Linked DNA regions of Oryzias latipes. The protein of the gene in region 2 purifies or fractionates together with the protein of the main gene of each other region. This does not show direct contact. Links are inferred from orthologs where the notes say so. Each region holds a gene or a part of one and is shown on either strand. Other genes may lie near its edges.

What was found.
Region 1: the proteins of wdr48 (region 2) and rad51ap1 purify together in Homo sapiens (affinity purification with mass spectrometry; 5 studies listed by BioGRID and IntAct, counting the BioPlex papers as one, with this or other methods). This does not show direct contact. The link is inferred for Oryzias latipes from reciprocal best matches to the Homo sapiens genes WDR48 and RAD51AP1.
Region 3: the proteins of wdr48 (region 2) and phlpp2 purify together in Homo sapiens (affinity purification with mass spectrometry; 5 studies listed by BioGRID and IntAct, with this or other methods). This does not show direct contact. The link is inferred for Oryzias latipes from reciprocal best matches to the Homo sapiens genes WDR48 and PHLPP2.

The regions. Positions count from the first base shown.
Region 1 is NC_019881.2:17,660,730-17,666,005, reverse strand, and holds rad51ap1 (RAD51-associated protein 1), read left to right. Parts: upstream 1-1,906; 5' UTR 1,907-2,219; coding exon 2,220-2,236; intron 2,237-2,343; coding exon 2,344-2,390; intron 2,391-2,811; coding exon 2,812-2,935; intron 2,936-3,677; coding exon 3,678-3,778; intron 3,779-3,867; coding exon 3,868-3,957; intron 3,958-4,073; coding exon 4,074-4,193; intron 4,194-4,274; coding exon 4,275-4,451; intron 4,452-4,519; coding exon 4,520-4,642; intron 4,643-4,732; coding exon 4,733-4,860; 3' UTR 4,861-5,247; downstream 5,248-5,276. UniProt on the Homo sapiens protein: Structure-specific DNA-binding protein involved in DNA repair by promoting RAD51-mediated homologous recombination.
Region 2 is NC_019875.2:17,403,763-17,409,038, forward strand, and holds the start of wdr48 (WD repeat-containing protein 48), read left to right. Parts: upstream 1-1,996; 5' UTR 1,997-2,078; coding exon 2,079-2,126; intron 2,127-2,781; coding exon 2,782-2,922; intron 2,923-3,031; coding exon 3,032-3,110; intron 3,111-3,191; coding exon 3,192-3,404; intron 3,405-3,497; coding exon 3,498-3,586; intron 3,587-4,133; coding exon 4,134-4,235; intron 4,236-4,321; coding exon 4,322-4,546; intron 4,547-4,868; coding exon 4,869-4,943; intron 4,944-5,080; coding exon 5,081-5,183; intron 5,184-5,275; coding exon 5,276-5,276. UniProt on the Homo sapiens protein: Regulator of deubiquitinating complexes, which acts as a strong activator of USP1, USP12 and USP46. Enhances the USP1-mediated deubiquitination of FANCD2; USP1 being almost inactive by itself.
Region 3 is NC_019861.2:21,085,838-21,091,013, reverse strand, and holds part of phlpp2 (PH domain leucine-rich repeat-containing protein phosphatase 2), read left to right. Parts: intron 1-1,606; coding exon 1,607-1,740; intron 1,741-5,176. UniProt on the Homo sapiens protein: Protein phosphatase involved in regulation of Akt and PKC signaling.

The DNA.
Region 1 (5,276 bases), on a different chromosome or scaffold from region 2:
CTTCAGAGTAACCCTTGTGCTATCTTAAATGACCCCACCCTTACATTGACGTGTTCTCCCTACCATGACAAAGGTGGATGAAGGTGGAAAGATTTCATGTAATCCATGGACACCAGTGAAGATCACAAATCATTGAAGAAAAAAGGTTCAGCGCACTGTCTGGTGGGGTCTAGTTGACCCAACTCCCAATGGTAAAGTGCCTAGGATAGCACAATGGTTAAGAAAGAGACTCAAAATTATAGATTTAGAGTTTAGATTAGCAAAACAAGGTTGAAAACCACTGGATTTTAGAATAGACAACAACTACAGCTGCTCTGTTACAAATACAATGTAAACATCTATATGTGTGACGGAAGCATGATGTTGTGACCGCACTGTTTGCATGACACGAGAGGGTATTTTAGACCCAGCTGTAGGCAGAGCTGGAGGAGTTTAGGAATGTGCAACCACAGGACCTTTTGGCCCCACGGCTGCATGTCTTCCTTCCCTCTCTGGGCCTAAAAACATGGCCTTTCACAGCCCTGAGCATCTGCTCCAGGGCCACTGTGTGACAAACCACAGCGGACAACCACCCACTCACAAGCTGGAAAATGACAACCCTCGATACAGTGGCTGCTCTCTCGAAGAACCACAGTCAAATCTGGGGAGGTTTCGTTTTGACCTCTCTTCAGAACTGTGATTGCTTCTTCCCATGTGTGTGGGCGACTGGGCAGTTGAGGACGTGTCAATTTAGTGTCAATCAGACCCAGGAACTGGAACATCAGAAGTCCTGAATCATCTAGTTTATACTGCCACCTGTTGGATGGTTGGATTCTTTACCCCTTGACAAACAGCTGTCCGTTTAGCACCAACAACAGTCTTTTTTATTATATGTAATCAAAGCTACCCAGAAAATATTCTCATCTATATTAAAAAATAAGATACAATAAACTTTTTTTACATCCTGCTGTGAAGAAATTAAATTGTTACAACTCTGGGGATCAGGCATAAGGGAGCAAAGAAAGGAAAATTTAAAATGTGCAAAAATATTTAAGGAAATAAAAAATATAAAAGAATTATACACCTCAAATACAATTAAATACAATTATAGTATACAACACACATTTCAATTGTATGCAACCATTTTAAAAATCAATATAACAAATAAAAATATTTTTTTTCCTATTCAAATACTGCAAATATACATCATTTTATTGTGTTTACAGGAATTACATTCCATTTAATGTTAGTTCATTATGACACACTTGTTTAGTAATTATGCTCATGATTTTAAAGCCTTAATTTTGTCACCTAATGTCACTAATTCTGTAAAATCCTCCCCAAATTTTTTTAAGTTGACTTAAAAGAATAATGCAATTTTCTTTTTCAATTTTATTGAAGAGTATACAACAGGAGAACAAATACACAATGTGAAATACATTAACAAGATCAAACAGTGAGGGGCTTTATTTAAATAAATACATATAAAGATTCACAAATACTGATTGTTTTAAATTTGAAAACAATCAATATTTTTGAATATTTGTAACCATTCCTGTTAGAAGAGTGTGATATTGATTTTATGTATAAAAATATATCGTTAAGAAATTGAGAAAATATGGTGCTTTATGGTGAAATTACATCTATAAATTATTAATTTTTTATATATGTATTATCTGTACTGCTGGCATAAATTAAGAAAACTAATCTACTTTCATAAACAGTAGATACGATACATTTTTCACTCAAAATAAAAACAATGTTGTGCATTTTTTTCTTTCTTTAATTTATTTACAATGGGTTTACTAAAAAAATTTAAATAAAACATTTTTACTAGTGGTATTTTATTAAAAACAACTAAACTAAAACGTAAAAAAAATAAACTCGAATCAACTTCCGCTTTTTTCATCAACTTCCGCTACCGTCAAATTAATCAACACAGCGTGACGTCACTTCTGGTCAGTTCAGGCGGGCTGCTTAAAACCAGAAGTCGCTTATTTTATTGTCGCTATACAAAACTAGTATACATTAATGTATCAACGTATGAGGAAGTGAAGTAAAGTTTTTTCCTCAGTACGTTAGGTGTTAGGCTTTTGATTTAAATCAGCTTTGCTGCAAAATTACCGGCTAGCTTAAGCTTCATGTGATCGAAGGGTAAAATAGCGGCTAAATCGCCGTTAATGTCCTTATTGATCGTTGGATAAACTAAGGGTATAATTTGTCAAAAATCCTATAAAGGGATGGACCGGCCGTCGAGGTGAGCAAGAAACATTTTCATTAGTTTATCGTTTTTTAATTACTTGTCAAATGTGAATAGAAAAGACGCTCTTAAGTTATTTCTCTACGTTTGCTTATTTGTTACAGAAAGACAAAGGTTGTGAATTATAGTGAAGCCAAGGATTTTGAGGATGGTGAGTTATTTGTGTTTTGTTCATCCAACTTTTATTTTCAAATTTTTTGTCTAATATCATATGTTCAATGATTCACAACAACAATTGTGTTGCTACTCTACGTCTTTCTCTTAATTTAAGTTTTAAGACTTAACTTCAAACTTAGCTTCTCTTCTGTGTGAAAACACCTTCCATGTTTGGTTTAGTTAGTCCAAACATTATAAAAACTAAAGATACATGTCTGCATTCGCTGATAACTATACTATAGTTATTCAAAAGATTCTGTATTTGGAAGAACTAGAGAACGATAGACATAAAGGACCCAGACGCTTAAAGCCTACTCCTTTATACCGATTCAACTTTAATTACCCAAAGTTGCATTTAGTTTTACAGCGTTTACCAGGTAACCCCTTTTGATTAGCCTGTTTCTTTGTTGTGTCAGATGAAGATTTTGCCTCCGTGAAGGCTCCACCTCACAAAAAAGCCAAGGAAGAAGTGAAACAACAACAGAGAAAGTCTTCAAGTCAGGAAGTTGTCTCTGAGTCGTCACAGAAAGAAAAGATCAGGTACACCGTTGGACATTTAGATGTTTTGGGGGATTTTATTGTCACTTATGGATCTTTGGATTATTGTGAGCCTCTCAAGTTATCTCCACCTCTTGAGTAAACATTAGTCCTAAAGACCCACTCAGATGAAAAAGGACTTTTTGGTGTTTTTTACATGTTCTTGTGGCATTTTTCTGATGATGGAGGACAAATATGAAGAAAAGTAAGCTTAAAATTTCATTTCTAAGTATTTCTTTATCTAAATTGTTGTGAATCAGGAGAAAATGATAAAATGCAGTTGTGTAAATATTTCATTTGTTGTGTAAAAAAATACGCTGGGAATTTTGGGATGAAAGTTATGGTATATCTGTGTATTACAATCTGTTTTTCAACTATGTCTGCAGCACAATGGCAAAATAAATAGCCCTCAGTGTTTTATTGTCTTGGATGTCTTTCAAGTCTACGATAAAGTCATGTTGACAATAATTTATTTTAATAAAAGATGACAATTGTATCACTTTTACCCATACAGGTCACATAGCTGAATATTCATCTATTAGTACTTTTTTTTTTTGCTTAATTTCCATATAGTTTAAACAACAAAAAAATGTGTTTTTTTGCTGCCCTTTTCTGACTTTGAGCCCCTGGCCCTCTATGATCCCGTACCTATCCCTGAGCAGCAACAAAATGGTTTGGCACCTGAGAAGTTAAAAATTATTTTAACTAATTTAGTTTTTAACCAATTAACACTTAATATTCTCAGAAAACCACTGGATGAAAAACTTTATGACAGAGACCTTGAGGCAGCCATCACACTGTCCTTGCTCAACAACACAGATGGGCTGAAGGAGTCATCTCCTAAAGGTTTGTTTTGTCTTGAAAAATGCTGAGTTGATTTGTTTTTCTCTGAGAGTGGTAACAAATTCTTTCTGGAAAAAAAAAAATTTCTCCAGCAGATGGAAAGATTCAAATCCCCATGGATGAAAATACGGATCCGACTACTTTGCGCTTTTCTAACTGCAGTGTGGATGGAGCAGTTTTGGGTAAGTATTGTTCTCCCCTCCCAAATCCCCGATCAATATGTTTTTCTTCGTCTAATCGACATTTTCTTTCAGTTTACTCATTTTTTTGTGTTTTTATTGTCGTTTGTGGGTCCCAGGCTTAGACGCAATCTCGTCAGAGATCAGATCATCCGCCTCAAAGAAGACTTCTTCTAAAACAGCTGAAGTGAAAAAATGCAAAGATGACGATGACGACTATCAACCCAAACTTACACCCGGTTAGCACTTTTTTCTTCCAAAGCTCCATAAAAAACTGTTCTCTTGGTTTTCATAAGTGTAACAGCTCTTTGCTTTTCCAGATCCAGAAAGTGATGAAGATTTCAGTGAGCCATCTGAGAGTGAGGATGAAGAATTTACAGTCAAGAAACCCACAAAGACCCAAAAGAAGGACAAAGTCTCCCCAAAAGACAGAATCAAACCAGCTCCCACTTCTAAAAAAGTCAAACAACCGTCAAAGACGAAGCCTGAAGCAGCAGGTTTGTTTCAACGGCTGACGTTTTCCATCCTCTTGATTTTTGTTACTAAGCCTTTTAAAACATTTTAGCTGCTTCCAAACCGGTGAAAAGTCCTCCAACGTCCAAACCGACACCCACCAGACCTCCTTCCACAAAGCCTGCATCCTCTCTGAGCCCAGCAGCGGGGAAAGTACCCAAGTGGAACCCACCAGGTACAGCTTATCAATGCACTTACTCTTTCTGTTATTTAAACTGCTGTAATCAGATTGAAGGCTAATATTTATATTAATACTATATTCCAGCTCAGATTGGTAAAAGCGCCTCATCATCACACAGTCCACCGGTGAAGTCACCCAGCCAGGGGCTGCGACTTGGACTGTCCCGCCTAGTCCGGGTCAAACCGCTCCATCCCAGCGTTGCAAGTCACTAACCCATTAGGGGACAGCGCCTCATGGGTACCAGGGATGGCCATTTTCTCTTAACACAATTTTTAGAGAACATTCTAAAAATCATTTTTGTCTTCCGGTTATTTATGGCACAAGTCTCCAACTTGAACTAAAATTTAAGAGCTTCAGGGAGGGGCTGCTGGGTCGTCCACACAGTCTGGTCCTCAGGAGTTCATCCTCTATTCTTTGTGTGAATTTGAGAAAACCGTTGTTGGTTTGTGAGAAAACTAAAAATTGTTTCTCTTTTAATACAAATGTTTTGCCTGTAATTTTCATATCCTTATAAATTCTTCTGTTTTTCTTTTTACTTATTGTTCGGCAAACTTTGTATATTATGTACATACATCTCAAATAAAATTGGGGAAAAAAAAGGAATCGTTTCGAATGTCATTTAATGCAA
Region 2 (5,276 bases):
AGTGAGCCCAAACTCCGATCCGCACCGCGCAAACATGTCACCAGAGTCCCAAATTTTTTGCGCACAAATCAGCAAAGAGTTTGGGGTGAGGAGTGTTTATCAGCCCTTGTTGGACATCTTATAAGTTTTCACTGTGCGCAACAGTTTCTCCTTTTCTCCAGGATCCCGGGGTTCTTCTTTTTTCATCCCACAAAAAAGTCCGTCGAGCGAGCAGAGGATGCTGCGCTGTTTTCCAGCAGTGCGCAGAAGCGGTACCTCGATTTGCCCTTGAGCGAGAGCGCACGGGGGAGGGAGGATGCAACTGGACCACGCAGGATTATTGCTCCTATGCGCGCCTCCTGCTTGGCTCAAACATGGCAGGCTCACTAATCAAGCCGGATTTGTGGGGGCGCTTGGAAATTGGCTGCACACCACACAGTAAACTCAATTTCAGTTGTAAATTCTCATGATCAATCTTGTTTAATCCGGTTATTGAACTATAATATTGTGGTAAGTCATGTGTAAAAAAAGATGCTTAATTTTCAGAGCTTCCGTAACATGTTCAAAAACATGTACTAAAAATATAAATAGTTTTTGCTTCTGAGTAAAACACACTTGACACAGCCTGTTTTCTGTGTTAGAAGCTGGAGTTAGAAGGAGCGCGTGTTTTACAGTTGATGGAGAGTCCCAGGGACTTGACCTTCACGTGGTCTTTAGCACCCTCTAGTGAAACGTTTTGGAGACTGCAACGCATGCGCAGACTAAACCTGTCCATTGACGAGGCCAAATACACTTATAACGGGGGGGGGGGGGGGGGGGGGTGCAAAGGATTCATTTATATCCATATTCGCACACCATATTCGCACACTTTTTTTAAAACTTTTTTTAAGTTACTAATTTACTATTTTCAACGAGGTGCCGTTGAAAATAAAAAAATGCCCTAAACAATATTCTCCTACAGAAATAAAAGTAACAAATAAATATAGAATTAAAAGAAAGTCTTTCCCTGGTGTTTTTTTTATACAACACAGCGTTACTTCCCCTGTCAAAATGGGGAATTGATTGTTTTTAACAATTATCTTTTTTTTTTTTGCTTTTATATCAATGTAGTATATCTTTAAGTTCAACAGCACTTACATTTATGCAAGAGAATATCAATATTTGACATTGTTATGTGACTATAATGTTATATATAAAAACAAGTATTTTCTTTTTTTAATCACAAAAAGAGTCAAAGTTCTTAATTGAAAAGACTGATAGGTATTGCATTCTCTATTATCCTGCAATACCCTAAAACATAGAAGGCTGAAAAGAGTACACTGTATTTTTAATTTTGTAGACCAAAAGGTTTATAGCACTACTTAGACATCATAAAGTTTTTAACTGTAGAGTAGTAAAAATAAAACACCACAGAAAGACCCACAAAGCTCAAAGGAGGCTCTAGGGATCATGTTGACTAGCCTAATATCACAAATTCGTATTAAAAATTAAACCATATATCTGAAACAACTTAAAGATATATGTATGTTGAACATTTTATTTAAAAAAATAATTTTAAGCTTTAAAACTGCAAAACCGCAAATGTATTTCCAACAACTGTGAATTATGCTAACGACATAAAATAAAAATACACCTACGTATTATTTATTAAATGTTGATACTTAAAAAACAAACAAACTGGTTACATGCTTGAACAAAAGAAGATGGCAAAATAAAGACATATAAGAAAATAAAGCACATAAAAAATACTGGGTTGTCATATAACTTATTGTCCTCAGCAAAAGTGAGAAGTTTTCTTGCTTTTTGATTTTCATAAATTCGAATGAATTAAAATATAAACAAATCTCCTTGTAAAATACATTTTCAATGTGGTAGATTTTTTGAAAAAAATATTTTATTAATATAAAACTTGCCCAGTATTATCAAAAACATTCAAAACTAAATCAAAAAACAACATGCTAAGTGGACACTAAACATTTAACTTTTTTCCCCTAAACATTTAACTACAATACCCATAATGCACATCGTCGAAACCGTTTTCTTGTTTTCTTTTTTTTTACCGGATGTAGCATCACATGAATTGACTGTCAACATGCAAGATGGCCACACATCACAGGCAAAATGCCGCTGGGCGGAGGAAAGTACAGGTACGTTTTCTGAGTTTTATAAGAACTTAGTGTGTGGGAACAATGTAATTGTTGTCTTTTAGGTTTGCACAAGTGTCTCATACCTGCTGAAGCGGCAGCAAAAAATCACTTGCGGAAGCGGCGTGACAACTATGACTCATGTCATGGTGCAAGCCGGCTAACCCTGTTAGCTTAGCTTAAGTAAGGTGTTAGCACCGTTGGAAAAGGAGCCTCTAACTTACAATTTGCTTCTTCAAATACCTTAGTTGCATATCCGAAAAACTTTACATGTCAGTTGGCCATTTTCCCCTTTGCGTAAATGCCGGTGTGTTTTAGCTAAATCTGACGTAACGGTTACGATGATGCTGGTTAAGCTACACTGTGTCCTGGCTGCGTCTAATTGCTGGTACGACGAAAGCGTCTCCGTATATATCTGCCATTTTCTGCCCATTCGTTATGCTTCACAAGGGACGCTATCTTTAATTTCATAGTGTGTTCTAATTATACCGGGAGGTTTTGTGTCGGTTACGTCTTCGTCCCCTTACGGTGATGCGAGTGCGTGAAGCGTGTTCCACGTCCAAAAGTGGGTGTGTTGTGGGTTCAACACTGCCTGTAAGCCTGAACCAGGCGCCGGTCCAAGAGAGAGGCTGACTGCAGTCGCATCTTTGTGCCACAGGTGTCTTACGTTATTAGGGACGAGGTGGAGAAGTACAATCGAAACGGGGTGAATGCACTCCAGCTAGATCCTGCACTCAACCGGCTCTTCACTGCTGGGAGGGACTCAATCATCCGGATATGGAGTGTCTATCAGCACAAAGTACAGTTTATGACTTCAATTAAATATATACATTTTTTTGTTTTAGAGTTTTGCAGCTGCATATAAAGCGACAGAGATACTCTTTTAAATGATGCTACGTTTTTTGCAGCAGGACCCATACATTGCATCAATGGAGCATCATACAGATTGGGTAAACGATATAGTCCTTTGCTGCAATGGGAAAACATGTGAGTTTATAAGTATTAACAGCAGATTTGATCCAAAGTTTGTGTTTAGCCTCTAGCAACTCACCTCTCCTTCTCCTCCAGTGATATCTGCCTCTTCAGATACAACGGTGAAAGTATGGAACGCGCATAAAGGATTTTGCATGTCAACGTTACGAACGCACAAGGACTATGTTAAAGCTTTGGCGTACGCCAAAGACAAAGAGCTTGTAGCATCGGCCGGTCTGGATCGGCAGATCTTTCTTTGGGACGTAAACACGCTAACTGCCCTCACTGCTTCGAATAACACAGTCACTAGTGAGTACACCTATAGTCATGTGATGGGTTTAGCCCGCTTTCATGGGTAGACGTGTTTGTGATCCACCTTTGGGCTTTTCTGTGTTCCTTCAGCGTCATCGCTGAGCGGGAACAAGGACTCAATCTACAGTCTGGCAATGAACCAGATGGGCACAGTTATTGTTTCTGGATCCACTGAAAAGGTTTGACACACATCTCCAAAAAAAAAAAAATCTATGGTGAACCAATGCACAAAATTTTTTCTTTTTGCTTTGTTTTCATATTTCTTATATTTTTTATCTTGCTTTAGCCTGAAGTTAGATCTGTAAGATTTTAAATCTTGACAGCGTGAGTTTTTGTTGTTTGTTTTTTTGTCCTAAGAATCCTGCTAGTCTATTGCCTCTACTAAGTGTTGTTGTTTTTGGAAGTTTTTTCCTCCTAAAGGGGGGTATCCTCTCTATTGTTCCAACATTGAATGCTCTTTATGAGGCAGTACAATGACAATTCTTCTATGTAATAAATCTGTCACACACATTCATTCACTTAGGCCTTATAGTAGTAATCTTGGCAAAATTAGACTACAAACATTTTAAATATATCTTCTTTGCCTTGAATTTTGCTTTGGTTTTTTTATTTGTTTGAGGCCAAATTGGTTGTTAATTGTTGCTTTAATTCAGCTGCACTATAAATTGTAATCAAACTGTAAGGTTTGTTTATCTACATAAATTTAGCTCTTTCTCCAACCTTCAGGTTCTGAGAGTGTGGGATCCTCGGACATGTGCAAAACTCATGAAGCTAAAAGGTCACACGGACAACGTCAAGTCCTTGCTGCTGAACCGAGACGGCACGCAGGTGATTCACCAAAGCGCTTCAAAAACCTCATCATGCTGAGCCGCAGGAATCCCAAACTCTTTAATCCCGCTCTGCTCCCCCGGCAGTGTCTGTCCGGCAGCTCGGATGGGACCATCCGCCTCTGGTCTCTGGGCCAGCAGAGGTGTATCGCCACGTACCGAGTGCACGACGAAGGCGTGTGGGCCCTGCAGGTCAACGAGGCCTTTACGCATGTCTATTCAGGAGGCAGAGACAAGAAGATCTACTGTACGGACCTGCGGAACCCAGACATCCGTGTGCTCATCTGCGAGGAGAAGGCCCCAGTGCTCAAAGTAACAGAACAAAACACTCTTTTAGCAAACTGTCTAATGTCCCCAAACTGTGGCTTTATAAAATAAATATACACTTTTAGTAACTTTTTTTATAGCACAACAGTTCTGTCTAAATAATTGTAGCTCTACTTGTCAGTTCTAGTAGTTTAATCAAGCTTCCATTTTTTTCCCCACTAACTTAAATCATCCGGACATTGTTGGTCTCTTTTTTTGTTTTATAAAATTTTAACTAAAGCTATCGCATTAAATAACACATGTTGATGTTTTGTTCTTCATTCATGCTGTCATGAAGATTTTTTCTGTCTTTTTGTCTCGTGCTCAGATGGAATTGGACAGATCTGCTGACCCACCTCCAGCAATCTGGGTTTCCACCACCAAGTCATCCGTTAATAAATGGGTAAGCATGCGTGGCCGCTCTCAGATCACTGGTCAGCACAGGGAACACAGCGGCTTGCATGGAGGCAGGTCTCACTGTTGTTCATGTGGACGCTTATATCAGAATGAAACTTTTTAATCTAGGTTTTGTTTGTTCAGTCTTTAAAGGGAATCCACAACTTCAGATCATCAGGGGAATACGACAATGACTGCACCACTCCCCTGACGCCATTGTGTACTCAGCCAGAACAAGTTATTAAAGGTACAAAAAAAACGTCCTTTTCTTGGTAAATCTTCCTCATGTCGCCTTCTATTTTATTTTATGAACTGAAATAGCCTCTCTTTTTTATGCAGG
Region 3 (5,176 bases), on a different chromosome or scaffold from region 2:
TGGAGCTGCAAACTGAAAATGCATTTCAAGCGCTACATTTCCATGCTTAGTCACTCACAGTTGTTGTTTGACATTGTAATTTGGCCTTCCTCAGTTGTGCTTTCAAAACTAAAACTGCAAACCCATTAACAGGATTTCATATGCAGAGGTGCTTTTGAGATAACATGAACTGCCAGGGCTAATGGATCAAACTTGTTGGAGTCCTCAAACATTTTGACAGATGTGGTGAGAAACAGAAAATAGAAGTTGACTTAAAAGGTTTTGATACCAAACTCAATGGTAAACCAAAATAGTGATTGCATCGGTACACTTCAACTGTGAGAAACAGTATGTACAAGGATCCAGTTGATGACATTAGTGTATCTCATTTTTTAAAGATTAGAGATGCGCAAATGTGCAGAAAATAGGTATTTGTTCAATAACAAAAGTTCCCCCTCAATAATGTAAATGACAGAGGTCAAACATTTCCTGCAGAACAAGTTTGCACGCATCATAGCTGCTATTTTGTACCGTTCTTTCATGCAGATCTTCTCAGACTTTGAACTCCCTCCACAGACTCTATATTGGATTGAAGTCCAGAGACCTGCTAGGCCACTCCAGAACCGTTAAACGCTTTTTATGAAGCCACTTCTTTGCTGGCCAGGTGATGTGTTTGGGGTCACTATAATGATGGAATACCCAGTCATGTTTTCTCTTCAATGCTCTCACTGTTGGAAGCAGGTTTTTGCCGAAAATCTCACATACATGGCTCCATTCATCCTTTCCATCATACAAATCAGTCGTCCTGTCCCCTTTGTGGAAAAGCAGTCCTAAATCATGATGCTTCTGCCCCCATGCTTCACCATGGGTATGATGCTTTTGGTAGGCAACTCAGCATTCTTCTCGCTCCAAACATGATGAGTGGCGTTTATATGAAGGAGTTTCATTTTGGTCTCATCTAACCACATGACTTTCTCCCAGTCTTCCTCTGGATCATCAGTACGGTATCTAGAGAGTTCTGGATCTGTACTGGCTGATTGAAACCCATGATCATGTAGTGTGTTACCAATAGTAACTTTTGTTACTGTGGTCCCAGTTTTCTTCAGGTCACTGACCACTTCCCTCCTCCATGTTTCCTCAAGAACCATATTCTTTATTTCTTTATTATGCTCAAGATTATTTGAAGCCCACAGCGTGAGTAATTCTTTCCTGGATTCTCTCTTTTTTTAAATTTTGTCTCTCACAATTGAACTTTACCTATGATAAATATTACAGACCTCTCATCTTTTAAGGAAGACAACTTGCAGAATTAGGGACTGACAAAGGGTTCTTGGTCCACTGTAAATGCACAAATATGCTGTTAATTTTGATAGTCAAAGAAATAAAATCACAATAACTCATTGAAAAGATTTTTTTAGCTTAATAATGTCAAAATTAGACACAATTTATTCATCTATCTTTCAAATTTACTCAGAATTTAAAATGATAGACAGTGATACTATTTAATGTATCTGTAATAGCAAAGCAGCTCCCCAAACATGAATTTTCCACACTAACAGTTTCTTTTCCAGGTTATGGCTTGTAACTTCACGCTAATATAACACTCATGCTATTCTTTGTCTCTCAGGAGAATGGACTCCTCTGAGCAACCCCTCCAGATGGTTTATGACTACTTGACATCAATGGGGTACGCTGACCTGACGCGGGTGCAGCATGAAGCTGCTAACTCTGACCTCAGCTGTTTGATCCGTTTCTACAGTGGTAAGTACTGACTCAGTAATCTCAAATTCCTTAAATTTCCACTCTCTGCTGCAGGAACAAACAAATAGTCCACTTTTTGTGAAAAAAAGCGATCTAAACTGAAAAAATAACAAGAATATAATACTAAAACTAATTGAATATTTATTTCTTTTGTAAGTGACCATGGAATAAGCGGAATAATGGAAGACAAAGTGTGCATTATCAGAATTAACGCACACCATGGAAGTCTGAACCATCTGGCGTGAAGCAGAGGACGGTTGCTTCCGTGAAGTGCGTTAGTTTCTGATAATGCACACTTCAAAGGCCATTATCCCTTACATAGAGGCCCTGCTCCTTACAAATGTGTTTGAACTTCATAAACCAATTGATGATTATGCCGAGTCAGCAGGATCTTTTTTGTGTGGGACTTTTCCCACTGCTGTGTCAGAGAAAGAGGAACTAAAAAAAAAAAAAAAAATCTGCCTCTTGACTTTCATGCGGCCAGATTCCTTCCTGTCTCTTTAAGTGGTTTGGATTTATTTTATCAAACGGATCCTCACTGTGCTCTTTCTTAAAAAATTTGCCTTTTTTTCAATAAAGGATTCTGAAATGCCACCCGGGTTTAATTGCGCTAAAAAAACTTCCTTGTCTTTAAGAGCTATGTTTATTAACTGTGCACTTTCCTTTTTTCCAATTTCTTTGTTTAAAAACTTCTTAAACGTTTAAGAATTTCATTTTCCACAATTGCAATCAAATTTCATATGATGAAAGTATTTTAGAAAAGGTAATGGTGCCAAGGTAAACGCAACCTTTCTTAGTCCAAAGGAGATTTTGATTTGTGCAGCTTCACCTCTGTGACATGTTCAGCTGGAAACTAACTTATTAAAAAAACGTTAGCCTGCTTCTAGCCAGATCTTGCCTACTTCTCAGCTGTTACCAGAATCAAACAAAGAATTCTGTGCTCCAACACAAAAGACTGTTATATTACATATTTTGATCCTTTTTTTTGTTTTGTTTTTTACTGAGGAAACTACATTTTTGGGGGTTTTAGCAGCTACTGATTCTCAGAAAATGCAAAAGTGGTGTTTACCTTCAATAACATCTTAGATCAAGAATCAGCAGCAGTAATAACTGTGCACCTTTTATTAGTCTTCAATAAAGTCTTGGCAACAATTAATAATGATCTGCAGTAGCATGAGCTCCTTGCTGCCCTTTTAAAGGAAACAAGACAAGCATAGAAATTGTGTTTTTCCACATTGATCTTTACCCACCTTTTTTATTTAAAGTGGAAAAAGTGCCATGTGATTTTTAGTTCTTATCCCGTTGTTTTACTGCCTTTTTGTCTCACTTGAGCTGTCGTGTCTCAAAGTCCAGAGCAACAGGTGATGTTGTCAACTTTGTAACCATGCATCTGACACAAACACACCCTTCTGCTGTGGTGCACAGATGAAATGAAAATAAACACAAAAAGTGGGAGTAAAGATTTCAAGAGAGAAACCTTAATGTCAACAGCCACAAGGATCTGAGTTGCAGCTGCAGCACAGATGAAGCTGGCAGGAGGCCCTGCTCCTTGTCCTCCTGCCTGTGGGATCTTTTTCATCTTTGAGCTCAGAATCCTGAAGGTGCTGAGAGTTCACACCAACTCTATTGTCTGTCAGGCTGCCACATGCCATCATGTTCAAAACCAGCTGGATAGCATCAAACAATGATTACTTTGAGTGGGACTGATTTGCTAATTAAAGCTAAAATGAGATTTCTTTTAAAAAAAATAGGTGACAAAGTGCATAAAACTCAGAGTTACAATAATGTTGTCCTCACAGAAAGTAATCAACATGATTTGAATACCCAGTAGAGAGGGGAGCTACTTCTTGGATGTGAACCCTGAGAAACAGTCAGGAAAATTCTGCTCAGATCCAGGCTCCTATAGAACTGCCCTCAGCAGCAGAGCTCTGCAGAGAGACAACCAGCTCTCTGTCATTTACTGACAGCTCCCTGTAATGGGATGTTTCTGTGAAGGAGTTCTGTTTCTTCTTGAGTTTAACCCTGTACAGTTTTTCACATAGAGGTGATAATAAAATCTGGCCACCATCCAAACTGCCTAATTTCTGGGAACTTTTATGCAGTCTGTCCTTTTTTATTAATGTTAGATGATGTTGCTACATATTTATTTTGACTTAAAATAAAAGAAAAAGCTGCACATTTTTATATGTTATCTCTGTACTGAACTTGAATTTGCAGTCAAAAACAGTTTAGGGTTTTGGTTTGTAGCTGAACCTTCAGTGCATGCTAATGCAGTCCATGCAGTCGTGGGTGAGGCATAAGCTGTGGTGTGCAAGCAGGCGGGCAGGCAGGCAGGCAGGCAGGCAGGCAGGCAGGCAGGCGGGCAGGCGGGCAGGCGGGCAGGCGGGCAGGCGGGCAGGCGGGCAGGCGGGCAGGCGGGCAGGCAGGCAGGCAGGCAGGCAGGCAGGCAGGCCAGGCAAGCAGGCAGGCAGGCAAAGGCTGGCAGGAAGACCATGCATTTCTAAAGAAAACTATTTCACAAATAATTTGAAATTGGAAAAATAGCTGCACTTTAACTCGTAAAATAATCATTTGAATGTTTTGGTCTCTTATCAGTGTCTGGATGAATCTTTTTTTTTGACTAGCCCTTTAATAGCTTTCATCTACAAATCAGCGTTGCTCCACTTGCTGCTTATTCCAGAAATGCGCAAACACCTCAGTTAAAGTCAAAAGACAAGTGGTGGGATCTTAAATTATGCATGCAGACTTTTATTCAAGCGTATGTAAATGTAAACAACACCTTTCTGATCTAGCTGCTATGACTGCAGCAATTACATTTATGCAAAAAAGTGTTGAGGTAGATATTTTTGATCTCTTAAAATTTGGAAGCAACATGTTTCCTCAGTGGATCTTTGTGTTGAAATTATGTTTTTTTTAGATTTAGTTTTCTTATCGTTTTATTACTTTTTTTTCCATCTTTCTGTCTGTTCTCATGTCATCTAAAAAAAATGTTTGTGAGATGAAAGAGCAGCAAAGTTTGCCGTCCTGCAGTTTTTCTGATGTGTCATGTAAATTGAGAAGCCCTTACTTTTACTGTGATTTTTTATTTTTTATTTTACTAGATAAAGAGCACAAACTCATTTCAGATTAGGATGGTGGAGATAAGAAGTCACACGCTCCATCAGTTACTTTTCACATTGCTGTAAAAATGTTTCACACAGGCTTCTGGTTAGCTCAGGGCCTTCTGTGGCACCATCTCTTTAGAAAAGTGTTTTGCACAACATGTCGCTGCGTTGACAACCAAACCCAGACTGAGCCACCGGGAACGCTCAGCACTTCTTTTCTATTTACTGCTGGCAGGATGGGCTGATTTGGGTTCTTTGCAGAACAGTTAGAAGATGCAGAGGGCAGTATGCAGATTTACTTACTCTGTTTGGACTTTGATATTGTGAACAGA